2 linked regions of the Coturnix japonica genome follow. The protein of the gene in region 2 interacts with the protein of the main gene of each other region in a pairwise test. Links are inferred from orthologs where the notes say so. Each region holds a gene or a part of one and is shown on either strand. Other genes may lie near its edges.

Region 1 (7,738 bases), on a different chromosome or scaffold from region 2:
TACACTGCTCACATTAATGCCCATCTTAAAAACAAATGCTGTCAAGCTGAGACCATCTACTAAATTAAGCACTACGATTTTCAGAGATCAGACAAGAGGACAGAGCTCAGAAAGGAAGATGTACTTTGGCTATCAGGAATAGGTCAAAAATGAGATGCGTGTTCTGAGACCTACTCAGATTAGATGTACAGTTAGTCTAAATCTCTGAGTTCATTTCTGTGTACAGAAGATTTCTGTGTTCAAGGAGTGATCAATACACACACCGGTCTGATTTTAGCTTTTAAATTTCAACGTGTAAAGCAAATAAAATTAAGAAGATGGGCATTCTGGTAGAGAAAGCAATGCTACGCTGCTTCTGAGCTCCCAGGTTTGTGGCGTGCGTTCTTTGTTTAGGCTGGTAGAAAATAAAATACAAAGGCTGACAGTCCAACAGTTGTCTGGAAGTACTGGACTTCTCAAACATACACAGCACCTTCGGGAGGATGGCCCTACAATAAGCACCACCTGAACCACAGAATTCCAAGCAAGAAGCAGCACACCAACCCCACAGTGTCAAGGGGAAACACCAACACTACGTGCTTTTACACACATACAACCAACACATGCAGACACCCGTCCCTCTTGTTTTCATACTCTCATGGGTGCAAGGAAACAACTCATGGAAGTGTTAAATATTACACTTCTAAGGAAACGTTCTGAATCTTACAGACTCTTCCAGCAAGCTACAAAACTCTGCTGGAGAATGTCAACGCAGCAAACAGCTGAAGGCAGTGAAGAGGGAGCCTTTAGGCAGCCAGGACAGCTGTTGCACAGAACGAGCTGCTCTGGCCTCTCAGCTGTGCATCACAATGACTATCCCACCTATGCAATACTGCCTATACGGCACAGGCCATGTACAAGTCCGTACCAACAAAGACACGCACGCAATTCCACAGCTATTTCCGTCGATCTTTGGTATGTGCTCCTAGATGAGTTAATTTCGCTATTCAAGTTCCTAATGGCGTTCAGAGGCCGGCCTCACGCTTCAGAAGAAAAATAACTGGCGCCCCTTAGTGTTCAGATTTTGAAGTCTTCAAGCAATTGACTCATTTGCATGAAACAGTTTGCTTTTTTTTCTCCAACATTCCAAAAAGTTTTCAGCCTCCACAATACTTCCATCCAACTGCCAACGTAAACAGGAAAAGCAAAATCGCTTAAAGGGATTGCAGAAATATTCTTGAGACTGTTTAGAAACACACTATTTGGTTTATTTTAATGAAGTGCACAAAGAAGAGCTTCAACACAACTCTTCGACAACTTTTTCTCTCAGAGTCCCCACAGCCCTCGTTTGGGAATTGGAATAGTTCAGAAAACAGCTGTCCAGAGCGTTTAGTATTTCGAAAAAGAAAATCAAAATGTCAGAGGGTGCCTGGATTTTAGATATTCCTTTGTGTGCTTTTTTGTACAGAAAATGTTTTCCTCTCTTTTGTTCTCTGAGGAAAAAAAACAACAGCAACAAAACAAACAGAACAATCTGGGCCTCCTCTGGTTCGAGTATATCGAGCTGAAGAGGTTTCGAAATTCAGAACTCCAACACCAAGTCCCTGTGAGGCTCTTCTGGCTTCAGAAAACAAACAAAAAAAAAATGAAGAAATCTTCTCAGTTATGTTTCTTCCCACTGTTTCCTATACTTCTAAATGTTGTGAAAAGAACGCTTGGTGGAGTGAACAAGAAAACACCATGTTCTATGTAGTTTTGCTTTCCACATCCAGATGTGCTCTGCTGGAAGTTCACCTCCCCAAATTCTTGAAAGTAAAACCAGAACTTCCCATGATACCGCTCCCACGGTCCATCTCCTGCGTCGTCCACTTTTTTGTGCTGCTCCATTGCTCATTCCGAAGCCACCATTCCAAATAGGTCGGGTTTGCAGCACTACAACCACTATCTGTTTTTCACAGTCTCGGAGAGGGCGGGGAGTTGTTCTACCAAATATAACCAGAGCCTTCATCTCCCGAGGTCAACAACTTCCCAAAGTTCTGTTATCAAGGAGGACTATGTCCACCACCAGGAATCCTAACTCTGAGATTATGAAACCGGGTAACTTCACGCAAAGAATCTCAAGAAGTTGAGGCTGCATAAATAATTCCTAGCTTCAGAACGTGTTACAAATACGCCAAACAGGTCTAACTCAGTGCAAAGCATGAGTTTGAGGTGGAGTGAAACAAAATGCTTCTAACGAGAAAACTAAACGCGCGAACCCAGGCACAAAGCAAATTTAAGTGCCACGAACGATCGCCCGGCCTGACGTCCAGTACAGTGGGGCTATTATCACATGGAGAGAGCCGTGTGGGACGCACCTAGTTGCCAGCCTTTACTTTCCCTTTCCCCCAGACGCCGTTACCCATCAACAGAACGTGGCCCTACGGGGCCGCGCACAAAGAGGGGCACCCCCCCCTTTCCCAGAGCAGGAGCTGCCCCCGGGGCCGCCGGCGCCCGGCCGGAGCCAACGAGGCCATTTCGTAAGCACGGGGTGTTTTTCTCCCCGCTCAACTCGCACATACGAGTCTTTCAAGTTAGTTTCTGCAGCAGGGAGAGCAGGGAGGAGAGCCGGCCCTCTGCTCTCCACTCCCCACTCGAGGGGACCGCCAGCGTTCCTCGGCCGCTCGGCTCGGGTGGGGCGCGCCGCGGCCGGAGCTCGGCCCCCCGCCCCCCGTAGGCCCCGCTCCCCCCTCCGGCACCGGCCCGGCCGCGCCGCGGGCCCCGCTCCTCCTCCTCCCCCCGGAGCGCATTCCTCAGCTCCGCGCCTCTCTCCCTCCCCCCCCCGGGCTCCCGAGGACGGGAGAAAAGAGAAAATAAAATAATACTAAAAACACTGCGGAGGGAACGCCGAGAGCCGGGACCCGCGGCGCGCAGGCAGCGGCCGGGGCGGGGAGAGCCCGCACTTCCCCTTTGTTTGGGGCGCACCGGCAGCGCGGAGCGGAGCAGGCCCGGCGCTGCCCCCGCCGCCGCGAGGGGCCCGGCTCGGGGAGGGAAGGGCCGGGCGGGGCGCGTACCTTCGTCCAGCAGCCACTCGAGGTGGTTGAAGATCCCGCAGAAGTTGGGGAGGCTGCTCATCAGCTTCTTGTTGTTCATCAGCTGCATCAGGTAATCGGGGCTCGGCTTCGGCTTCTCCTTGGCTTCCATTTCCCCAACCATATTCCAAGCCCGCGCGCACAGGGCGAGCGCCCGCAGCAGCTCCGCCGAGCGAGGCGACGGCGACACGGGGCGCCCGGCGGGATCGGGCGGGCCGGCGGGGGAGGGGCGGGGCGGGGAGGGAGCTCCCCGAGGAAGGAGGAGGAGGAGGAGGAGGAGGAGGATTCCGAGCCGCGAGCGCCGCGCTCCCGAGTCCGAGGGGCCGGCGGGGAACAAGGAAAAAAAAAGCAAAGTCGGAGAGACCCCGCTGTGGGCGCGCCCTCCGCCCCGGCCGCGCGGAGTCATCGCCGCTGCCGCCGCCTCTCGGGGCCGCCGCTCCCCCGCTCCGCGCGCCCTCGGCCGGTGCGGTCCCGGCCGCGTCCCCGCTCCTGCTGCCGCCGCCGCTCCTCCCGCGCCGAGCCCGGCTCCGCTCCGCGGCGGGGGAAGGGAGGGAGGGAGGCGGGGAGGGGACGAGCGGGGCGGGCGGGCGCTGGCGCTGCCAAGGAGCCGCCGCCGCCGCCGGGCTCTCTCCGCCGGTGCCGCTGTTGTCGCCGCCGCGCTGCGCCGGGCGCGTCCTCCTCTGCGCCTGCCGCCTGCCGCCCGCCCGCCCTCCCGCTGCCGCCGCCGCCGCCGCCTGTGGCTGTGAGCGTCAGCCCCGCCGCCGCCTCCTCACTTCTCCTCAGTTCGCTCTGGAGTTCGCTTCAGTTCAGGCTGCGCTGGCAGCAGCGGCAGCGGCGGCAGGAGGAGGGGAGGGGGCAGGGCCCGCGGGGGCGGGGACATGCCGGGGGCGGGACGCCGGGCGGGGCGGCCGTTACGCGGCGGCAGCAGCGCCGCTTGGCGGAGCCAACCGCTGCCGGCTGCCGGCTGCCCGCGCACGGCGGGGCCGGGGGGCGGGGCTCCCTCCGACACACCCGCTCGGAGGCTGCGCGCACCCGGAGCTGCCAAACAAAGTCGAGGCGCTGAGCCCGCTGCGCTGCCGGGAGGGGACGGGGCGGGGAGAGCCCCAGCGCCGAGCGTCTCGCGCGGTGAGAGGAGCACACGGAGCCGCCGAGGGAGGGAGGCGGTCGGCAGCGCCGAGCATGCGCCGCCGTGGAGGAGGAGTGGGGGGAGAGGGGCGGTGCGAGCGGAGAGAGGAGCGGGTTGTAATAATCCTTAAAGCGGCAGCGCGGCTGGAGCGGGAGCGGCGTGGGATGAGGTGCGGGGTGAGGTGCGGGGTGAGGTGCGGGGTGAGGTGCGGGGTGAGGTGCGGGGTGAGGTACGGGGTGAGGTACGGGGGGCTCCGCCTCGGGGAAAGGGACCGCGGCCATCTCCGATAACTCTTTATCTGAGATAGACACAATGATTTGTATTTCGCTTCCGTTTGGTTTATGTGAAGTAAAATGTAATGGTTTATGTAAGATAAGCCTCATTGCTTCCATTATTTATTTATTTTTTTTAAATCATCTTTATTATGAAAGAGAGTAGCGACTTTGCAGGCTGTTTTGCTTTGCTTTCTTCAGATGTGTGTTGCTGGTCCCTGTGTTGCATGCCCGGAGCACCCTGCAGCATGGCTATGGATGATGACACGGTGCTGCTGCTATTCAGTGACAAGGCTGTATTTGTTCCATTCCTCTCTTGTTCTAGAAGCATGATGAGCAATACCAAACCTTACATGCCAAACCAGACCGCCGTCCTTTTCTGGAACAGGCTGCCCAGGGAGGTGGTGGAGTCTCCTTCTCTGGAGATATTCAAGACCCTCCTGGACGCCTACCTGTGTGACGTGGTGTAGGGAGCGTGCTTTGGCAGGGGGGTTGGACTCGATGATCTCTAGAGGTCCCTTCCAACCCCTACAATTCTGTGATCAGCCTGAAGGGTGGTGTGTTATTGTTACCATTTATTTATCTGCTAGTTTTTGAGCAGCGAGTGGGAGAACTGCTCTGATCTGATTGAGGCCGTCAGTGTCAGGCTGCATCTTACAATTAGATGAGCTTAGATAATGTCAGAATAATAATTCTGGACTACCAGTTCTCACAGTAAAAATAGCATATGGAGATTTTTTATTTTTTTCAGAAGATTCGGTACAGCTGTTCCCATGCTGCTTCATTATTGCTTCCTGCACATAAAGTGCTTCCACTGTTTGGATATGAGCAGGTGAAGCAAGTACACAATATAAGGTAAGAAACACCAACATCAGATGTGCAATAACTATCTGTTGTCTTGCCTACTGAGAACAATAAATCTTCTACTAAGCTATTTTCCATTTATTTACTGGTGAACAAGATGTTGCACACCAGCAGTTACTGGAATCACTCATGCATTTCAATGCAAATTCAAGCTCTGCTTTGCCACGCGTTAATCTGAATTGTTTTTCTAATCTGAACGGTACAAAAATGGAGGCAGAGCTACATGCTGAGGCTGCCTGCGTAATTAAGGATAAATGACTTAGGGAAAACCTCTCATCTTTTATTTTGTCACAAGTGCCTCGAGACTGAACTTAAATCATTGGAAAAATGCCCTTGGAGAAGCCGAATGCTGTGACAAAATGTAGACATCGCGCCATTAGTTTTAAATAAGTAGATCAGTATGACATCTTTCTTCATCAAGTATTCTGCAAAAACAGAAAATCTACATAAAAGCCTGTCTGCATACCTTGTGTTCTGTGTTCTTCCACCTTCCTGCACTTCCAGGAAATGGGAATGCATGGGAGTAAAGGTTGAATTAGTTCTGCTTCAAGATCAGCGTGAAGGTATAACTCCCAAAAAGACTGGCCTGCCTGCAACCTAATCTACAGAAGCAGCAGAAATACTCCTGCTTTGGATTGAACTTTGGAGTTTTCCCAGGGGGGGAAGAAATATAGAGGGGGCAGGGCTGGGTAAACAGGGATTGTGGGTTGGGAGGGAGATGGTGTAGTATTGGTGGGGGCGGGCATCTTTTTTGTTCCTTTAGTTTTTTGTTGGACATTAATCAGGTCCTATGGCTTGTCAAGTTTCTTCAGGTAACTACATAACCCATTAGTTTCTGTCGGAACACCAACAGAAGTCCTTATCTTTAACTCCTGCGTTTTATCTAGGTAGCCTTTCTTGTGTCATATAAACTGTAGTATTCTCCAGCAGCTTATTTTTTAAAGGTGAAGTTTTATTGCATTAATCTAATCTTGAAATAAGAAAAAAATATGATTATGCCGGCAGCAGTCTCTGTCTATGGCAGTAAAGGCCTCACACCGATCATAAAAAGCAAATTCAATTACTGCTATAGTGTTCCTATCTGATAGCAGCTTGGGAAGTAGGAGTGCTAAAGGTTGATGACTACTGGGAAACATTCTTTAAAGCATCTCTGTTGACTTAGTCATAGGCACATACAGTTGGATGGCATCAGCTTTCTGAAATGCTTTCTATAACAGGAAGACACCAACGTGCCATGTTGCCCTCCTTCAGGAAAGGAAGCAGTTCTTCCCTTACCCATTACAGTCATCCAAGGAAAAATACTACTCCAGGACTGTTGTCAATTCATTCACAGTGTACAAGGCGGTAGCAGCTGTACCTATGATGCAGCAGATGTGGCCACTACCAGCAGAACATCTGAAATTCATTCATCTCTCCAAGGTGACTAAAATACGAACAGAGTAATGTTTAGAGCCAGACTGAAAATATCAAGAACATCAACAATATTCAGGTTCTGTGATGCCGTGACAAGTGCTGAAAAGCTATTTCCTTTGACATTAAGCCAAACTGACAGCTAACTTTTTGAACAGAACTATTAGATAATAGTAAAGCATATATGAGTTTTTTCCAATGACCACTTCAAGTTCTTTAGTTGTTCATGCTAAAAACTTAACCTGTCTACTCTCTGTGTCAGGCGTAACTGTCTATGGAATTGGATGCTTCATTCCAGTTTGAATGTTTTCCTGACACAGCAGACTGGAAAAGATGCTCTGACTTCATTTTAAAGCCTAGCACAAATTTCAGCTGTTAAGCTCAGTAAATTGAATCAGAACACATTTTGGGTAATCTCTGCACCTTATTTGTGTTCACAGTCAGCACTGAGCATTTGCTGTAGAGTGGAAGGTAGAGATGTTAAGCACACCTTGGTTAGGTAGGATCCTTTTCTTGTATCTCCCCATACTGAAGGTACTCCAAGCTGCATAACAGTTGTCTTAAGAACGGTACACTAACCCATTATCTTCCTGGTTGGAATTAAGGAGACAAGATGAGAAGGATGTTTCTCATATGCCACTTTTACTGTAATAGTTCTAAGAAAGGCAGAAAACAAGAAGAAGGAGGAAAAGAAAGAAATCTCATAAAGAATAGAAAAAAATATAACCAACAGTTAGTTAAAGAAGACAAAACTGAGATATATTGAACATAAAATTTACCTACTTAGTTTCTTGTTCTTAGCAGCACTTAGATTTAAAAGCCACAGGGAAAAATACAGTTTTCACAGAATATATTTGAGTCATGCACAATTAAAAAGTTTTTTTTTTTTTACCTCTAACCTCATAAACTTCCCTCTGTCTTCTAACATGCAAACACATGCATTGTTTTGCACATGTTGTTGTTTGGGTAATCAGTATTCTTACTTGCTCATTAGAAGAAGTCTAAGAGTCTCTTGA
Region 2 (7,738 bases):
GTCAAGCAACTAATCCCTAAACATTGGGATTATCTCATGACAGCTACACTCCAGCCTCCATTCAATACCACTGTAAAATGTAGATCAACAGGATGCTTCAATGAACTGGAACTCGTTACCTCTAATTGCTTCTCTCACTTCACTTCTGGATGTTCCTCTGATCCCTTAGTCACGGCATTTCAAAAGCACACACACAGAGAAGGTCAAGTAATATCCAAGATTGGCAAATTAAACAACAAGTTTCCAGGCAGCCAAAACACCGGCTTCTCTTTCTCTCCACTGAAAACTGGAGTCTGCCCCACGTCACAAGACGAGCCATCAGCACAGACTAATAGGTTTTACAACAATTTCTACCCAAAACGCCCTGAGGGCCAGAGGTTCCCGCGCAGCAGCCCGAAGGCCACCAGCGATAGGCTTATTTTCACAAGCTACCAGCAAGCAGCCCTTTAGCAGGTCTCCGGGGGGCCCCAGGCCACACACAGAGCCCTGCTCAGGTCCATGGCTTCCACACACATGGCTCACCACTGGCCTAGCTTTGGTTCTGTTTTGCGTGGGTTTGTTGTTTTTATTACCTGGAAGCAGAGAGGTGAGGCATAAATGCCAGAGAGCGAGTGGGAGCCCTGCTGATAGGTTCCCTGGGAGGAAAAGCCAAACGATGCTGAGAGACATACCGCTCCGAGCTCAGCTCTTGCAAAAAGAGAGCCCAGGCATCCTGCAGATGCCAGCACGCTTGTGCGTCTAAATGGGAGTTCTGGAAAGGAAAAATTAGTAAGCGTATGCGTACAGCTGGTACACACATGCAGAAGGAAACCAGCTCCAGCAAAGCCAGACCTCTGCTCAGCTTCCAATCTCTCAACTCCAGCCATCGCCTCTAAACACAAACCTCTGAAATCCAAAGAGAAACACGGGCATTGCCTGCAGGGGTACTCAAGTATCCACAATACTTGATTGGGGCTTTCCATTTTCCCGAATATGGCAGGAAAAGAGCCAACTTTAAAGTGCTCCCAGCACCTCTATAATCCCAACTTTCAGCCTGCGTGCCAAAAGGGTGCTTTGAACTGGAGTTTTTCTAAGCCTTCCCAGACAGTGTCAGGTAACTCCGAACACTCAAATATTTAAAACAAAAACAGAACAGCAACAACATGAAAAAAACAACCATAGGTCAAAAGCAAACAGAGAAGTAACAACAAAGGAAAAGGTGATTCCCTACACCTCAGTACCTCCACAACAGCCTGTCCAAACAGCATCCCACCAACTTCATCCTGGACCCAAGGCAGGGGTCAGCTTTGTAAAAGTGGAATTCCATTCCTCATCTTGGATATCTCAGACATTTTGTGTTGCTGCTTCTTTACGAAGACGGTCACGGCATGAATAATAAGAGGGGGGAAAAGCTAACCTGATTTTGAGTCATGCTTTGCCATGATGAATTGGAACTAGGTGTTCCCCTCCATGAGATTTAAATACTCCGATTTCCACAGGGTCACACGCGGTTCAGAAGCTGTTGTTCACAGGCCTCTTCTGTTTCACAGCCCCAGTCAGCCCCTCTACTCATAAAAGCCTCAAAACCATCTTTGGAAATTAGTAGCAGATCCATCTCTCATCCTCATCTGAAGAACCACAGAGGGTCCACAGCTTGAACCATGAAACCACGGAACAGGCCAGTCATTGAGATCCCTCCCATGCACACCACTCGAGGTTAAGCACACAGCTCCATTTCAGACCACGCAGGAATTTTCACCTCAAACTGGCAACAGCCATCGCATCCCTGCCTGGACCTCTTCTGCTACAAAGGACTGATGCCAAAGCACCAGCCATCTTTACAAACCCCATGCTAACATGCCAGAATGGCAACACAAAGTCACTTGTTGCAGCCATTAAAAGTTCACGTGGACTAGATAAGGCGCAGGCCAGAAGCTGTGTTAAACACCCTCCCTGATCAGCCACATCCCAGGGACTCGGGGATACTGAGCACAGAAGTCGTTCTTGAAGAAGGATCAATTCCGCACACTCTTCATCTAACTCCTACCACATTACTCTCAGACACACTTTTAATTCACTAACCAGAGCAGACCTCAGAAAAATTAAATCAAAATTCACCTTGGGGACCGAATCAACTCATTCAACCCCATGCAAAGCTACAAGCTAGTTTAATAACAACTTCCCTCAGCAGCTTAAGCCAGCTGGCACACCTTTAGCACAACGACAGGGAAGGAACACAGCATCTTGACTTGACAGCCTCATCTACAGCCCTGAAGAGAAAGAAGGGGCTCTTCCCCACTGGCCGCTGTTCCCAGTGTTCCTCGCACGATTAAAGACAAGCTTACTGCAGGAGAACTTTCCATCTGTACAGCAACCCCGTCTGAAAAGCATCAAATACAGCTGCATCAACAACTGCCTCGGGGTGAAGTTTCACCAGTGACTGAGGCCAGTATACTGTCATCCCCTCTGTTGGGGATGATTTTTACGCAGATCAGGGGGCTGATCCAAACGATTCCACTCACCCAAGCCTGCAAGCAACGAGTGATCCCATTCCTAGCTAGGATCTAAACAGTTAAAAAGCAGCAGTACCTCTGGGGCCCTTCTTTTCCAAAGCTTACAAACACACCCAAATACTTTCAGGAGACATTCCTGGCCAGCGGTTTTTGCCACTCACACACTAAAGGGAGCTGGAAAGCAGCAGGTTGTGCACGACCATTCCTCCCGTGCCACGATTAACTGCGATCAGTCCCAGGAGCAGATAGCAGCCATGATCCGATTTGTCCCAATCCCAACTCAAGCAGCTTTGCACCACCCTCCTAACAAGATCAGCTCTGGCCAAACACCGTTTATCCGGCCTGATCAGAGATGGATTAGATAATGAAACCCTAACGGCATAAGCTGTCTGAGCACGCAGCAAAAAGCAAGAAGCCCCATAAACATAAGGGCTACTGGCAGCTCTCAGGCTCTCTTTGCCTCAAGTTCTCGGCAACCAGCCGCTACCTTCCCATAGACTAGGCTTGATATTTCACGTTACCAGACAACACCAGCAACAACAACAAAAAAGCCACTCTTCATTTTCCAGTTGCGTTACTAATTGCTGTAGCTAAATGATTGCTCCCAGCACCAGAAGCGGCGTTCACATCCTGAGCCATCAGTTGTGCACGGAAGGAACCGTGGCAAGCGCGGCACCCCGGGATCCCTCCCAATCAGCCTCGAAACACGAGGTCATGGAGTTTGCACAGCAGCAGCCCGTGGCCCGGGAGCAGGAAGTAGAAAATTGACAGGATCTGCAGGAAAAACAAGGTACAACAGTCGCTGGTGTTAATTCCAGCCTCCAGAAAGCCTGCAGTACATATGAAAAAAGCAAAAGAAGTAATCAAAGAATAGGCTCTTTATTCTGCTTGTAAGCATTACATACAGTTAAACACAGAGAAAATGCTAAAGAAAGACCCGTTATTTGAAAGCAAAGTAACTTCAAAAGACCACACTATGTGAACAGAAACACTGATGAAAGCCACCTTATGGTCCATCTTCGCTTCTTGGGACAAAGATGTAGAATTTAATTTCCCGGATGTTTGGCAGTGTTGGGCATTGATACCCAGCCCCATCCATTCCTACTGTGCTAACATGGCTGTGTGTGCCCACTGAGGGAGCCCCACCACTGCAATCCTACTGCCTCGAAGCAGTCAATGAGCAGAAAACAAAATACTTTCCTTCATCTGAATGTGGAGCACAGCTTTAATGGATACAGACAACGTATATGTAAAAAACTGAATTTTAGGGCTGTTAAACCAGATCAAGTCCCTTGGTGGGGAACTGTCAGTAGGTTGACTGGTCCACATGGATACCACCCAGCTTGGCACCAGCTGCAGCACAACGGGTACATGTCCCACAGCAGCACAGGACCCAGTGGCACCCAGCACCCTCATGCCATGCCCAGGCCTCACGTGCAGGCAAAGCTGCAGCCTCACAGAATCACAAAACCATTAAAGCTGGATCTAAGATCACCTGGTCCAACCAGCAGCCCATCCCCACCATGCCCACTGACCACGTCCCTCAGTGCCACATCCACACAGCTCTGGAACACCTCCAGGGACGGTGACTGCACCACCTCCCTGGGCAGCCTGTGCCACTGCAGCACCGCTCTTCCAGGGAAGAAATCTTTCCTCATATCCAACCTGAACCTCCCCTGGTGCGACCTGAGGCCATTCCCTCTCACCCTATCACTGTTACCTGGGAGCAGAGGCCGACCCCCACCTCAGCACAACCTCCTCTCAGGTCACTGTAGGGAGCGATGAGGTCTCCCCTGAGCTCCTCCGCACAGCCCCAGCTCCCCCAGCCGGCCCACGACTCGCTGTGCTCCCTCAGAGGCACGAGGCTGCAGCAGCGCCACACGGCACGAGCGGGAGGCCTCCAGGAGGGCCCGCGAGGACCAGGGGCAGCCGGGGAATGGGGAGGGAGAGTCACGGGACAACGAGAGGAGCCGGGGATGCTGCGGCGAGCTGAAACTCTCACCGGTAAGAGAGACCGAGCGAGGAGAAGTTGGGATGGATACATTGCACTGCTCCCACCATAGATGTGCTACGAGGAACTGAAGCCAAGAAAAAAGGGGGGAAAAAAAAAAAAAAAGGAAAAAAAAAATCCTATCCCGCTTTGCCATAATGAAGCGACCCACAATAAAGCGATCCACAATAAAGCGATCCACGCGCACACAGACAAAGGGAAGCACCCACGCCCCGGCGAGGGGCACAGCCCGCACCTGGGCACGGCGCCGCTTACGGCCCCGCCGCACCCCGCACCCCGCGCCCTCCGCGCGGCCCCGGGACACGCCGTGCGTGTGCGGGCCGGGCCCCGCGGCCTCGCTACCTGCATGCCGCCGCCCTCCGCCTCCGCCTCCGTCCGCAGCCGCTTGCTGTGGCCGCCCTCGGCGCCGTCCCCGCCGGGCATGGGTTGCTCCAGCTCCGGCTCCCGCTTCACGCCGCGGGCGGCCCCGCCGCCGCCGCCGGTCAGGAGCTGCGGCTGTGGCTGCTGCTGCTGCTGCGGGGGCTGGCCGCCCTCCGCCATCCGCGCCGCCGGAGCCCCGGCCGCCCCCCGCCGCGGTCGCCCCGCTCTGTCACCGCGCCGCCCGGCCCCGCCGGAGGACAGCAGCAGGAGGACGAGGAGAAGGAGCGGGCGGAGGAGCTGCGTGCGAGCGCGGCGGGCTCCGACCCACCGGAGCGCCTCGGTCACGGGCTCGGCGGCGGCCGGGGAGGGGCCGAAGCCCCTCGGCAATCTCCGGAGGTGCCGAAGCCGCGCGACCCCCACTCGGCAACCTTCGGCGACGGCGGAGGGCGGGGCGAGGGGAGGGGAGGGACGGCGGGGCGGGGCGGGGCCGCGGCGGGGCACGGGGCGCACGGCGGAGGGCGGAAAATGGCCGCCTCGATACGGCCTCGCCGTGCCCGCCGCCTCCCGCCGGCGTGAGGCGTCTGCGCTGCGGGAGGAAGGCGGGGGGCTGAGGCTGCTACCTGCGGGTGAGGTCGGTGGCTTCGCCTCAGAGCGCCGCGCTGATGGGAGCCCCGAGTGTGGGGATGCGCTGACTGGGCGAGCGGTGATCCACTTTCGGACCCTCACAGCGTGTTTCTGATGTGTAACTAAGCATAACAGAAGCCTAAGGCCTGTACATCGGCCCGTGTCTGTAACCCTGTGTCAGAGGAAAACAATCACGGAATCGTTAAGGTTGGAAAAGACCTCTAAGAGTATCTGGTCCAACCAGCAGCCCATCCCCACCATGCCCACTGACCACATCCCTCAGTGCCACATCCACACGGCTCTGAACACCTCCAGGGACGGTGACTGCACCACCTCCCTGTGCAGCTTGTGCCACTGCAGCACCTTCCTCATATCTCAATCTTTCCTCATATCCAACCTGAACCTCCCCTGGTGCACCTTGAGGCCATTCCCTTTCATCCTATCACTGTTATCTGGGAGCAGAGGCCGACCCCCACCTCACCACAACCTCCTTTCAGGTCGTTATAGAGAGCAATAAGGTCTCCTCTGAGCCTCCTCCAGACTGACCAACCCCATTTCCCTCAGCTGCTCCCCATCACACTTGTGCTCCAGACCCCTCACAGCTCCACTGCCCTTCTATGGACACGCTCCAGGGCCTCCATGTCTTTCTGGCAGTGAGGGGCCCAGAACTGAACACAGCACTGGAGGTGCGGCCTCACCAGAGCTGAGTACAGAGGGATGGTCACCTCCCTGCTCCTGCTGGCTGCACTAATGCTGGTACAAGCCGGGATGCCGTTGGCCTTCTAGGCTACCAGGCACACTGCTGGCTCACATTCATCTGGCTGTCAACGAACACCACCAGATCTTTTTCCTCCACACAACTTCCCAGCTGCTCTGCCCCAGACCTATAGCACTGCATGGGGTTGCCGTGATCACAGTGCAGCACCCGAAACTTGGTCTTGTTGAAGCTCATACAATTGGCCTCAGCCCATTGATCCAACCGGATCAAAAGGAGTCAACCAGAAATGGCAGTGGTCACAATGTGCCAGCACACACACAAGGAAGCCATGCTCTACTTCTCGAGAGTGCCGTGCAGCCTGGACACCCACTAGGTGGTCTTGGTGGGTCCCTACAGGCCTGCTGACATTAAGAAAACCATACAGCTTTTGGCTGCGAGTGGCAGTTACAATGCTTGGCTCCAGTCTTCCCATACACCACATTTTTCTTCATCCAAAAATAGTCTTCAAGGCCACGTTAAAAGCTATTTTAAGTGGTATGTTTTTGCTATGAGGTGCCAGTTTGTCTCCTCCAGTGACAGGGAAATCTCTTTTTTTTTTTTTCAGAACGATTACAAATCCCCACGGAGTGGCAGGCACCCAGAGGACAATTACACGCAGCTTCAGTCTGCTCGCCCACCGAGGGTAAACACATGTCTCATTCATCTCAACCGGGTTTGATAAAGTGAGCCAGGCTGTCAAACAACACTGAAGGCACACGTTCAAGTCTGCCCTTAGCTCGAAAAGAAGTGCAGAGTCTCGTGGCTGAGATGCTGCTCCTTGGGAGAAAAGCATCTTCATCCTTATCTTCATCCTAATTTCAGTGGGGCAGCTGTGAGTGGAGATCACAGGTGAAGATACTGCCTGTGAGATGTTGCAGGATGCTTCAAGTGCTTCTTACAGGATTCAGCCTGGATTCAAGTTAGAAGTAAACAGTTTAGAAACAAATCTATATGAGCGCACTTGATTGCCCCCCTCTCTGATAGTCACACGTCTGTGATATGTCTGATATTCTCCCTGAGAAATACTGCAAGACAGAGTTGCTCTGTGGTACCCCACTCCACTTCTACCTACCTTCCCCTACTCCCATCCCTCTCAGCTCTGGCCTGTGAGTGATGCTGAGGGCAGGTCCCCTGACAAGGCATTTTTGGCAGGGCAGCAATAGACCCTGGAGAGCCCTCAGTGCTGGTGTGCGTGGAATAGTCAACAAGAGTCCCTGTGCCTTCGCTGCCAAGCCAACCCTCAGTTTCCACTGGTGTGCTGTGTGCTAGTGCTTGCTTTCTGTCATTGCTGCCATCCCTGCAGGTGTTCAAGGCCAGGCTGGATGTACCCCTGGGCAGGGTGGTCTAGTATTAAAGGGGGAGGTTGGTGGCCATGCCTGTGGCATGAATTGGAGGTTCATGATCCTTGAGGTCCCTTCCAACTCGGGCCATTCTGTGATTCTGCCGTGATGCTTTGTCTTAGCATTTCTCTGGCTCTATGCATTTCCACTTAAG

What was found.
Region 1: the proteins of RBFOX2 (region 2) and QKI interact in binary tests that used the Homo sapiens proteins (3 or more experiments, as listed by UniProt). The link is inferred for Coturnix japonica from reciprocal best matches to the Homo sapiens genes RBFOX2 and QKI.

The regions. Positions count from the first base shown.
Region 1 is NC_029518.1:39,802,399-39,810,136, forward strand, and holds the start of QKI (protein quaking), read right to left. Parts: upstream 3,814-7,738; 5' UTR 3,457-3,813; coding exon 3,033-3,456; intron 1-3,032. UniProt on the Homo sapiens protein: RNA reader protein, which recognizes and binds specific RNAs, thereby regulating RNA metabolic processes, such as pre-mRNA splicing, circular RNA (circRNA) formation, mRNA export, mRNA stability and/or translation.
Region 2 is NC_029516.1:47,337,752-47,345,489, reverse strand, and holds the start of RBFOX2 (RNA binding protein fox-1 homolog 2), read right to left. Parts: upstream 5,059-7,738; 5' UTR 5,044-5,058; coding exon 4,846-5,043; intron 1-4,845. UniProt on the Homo sapiens protein: RNA-binding protein that regulates alternative splicing events by binding to 5'-UGCAUGU-3' elements. Prevents binding of U2AF2 to the 3'-splice site.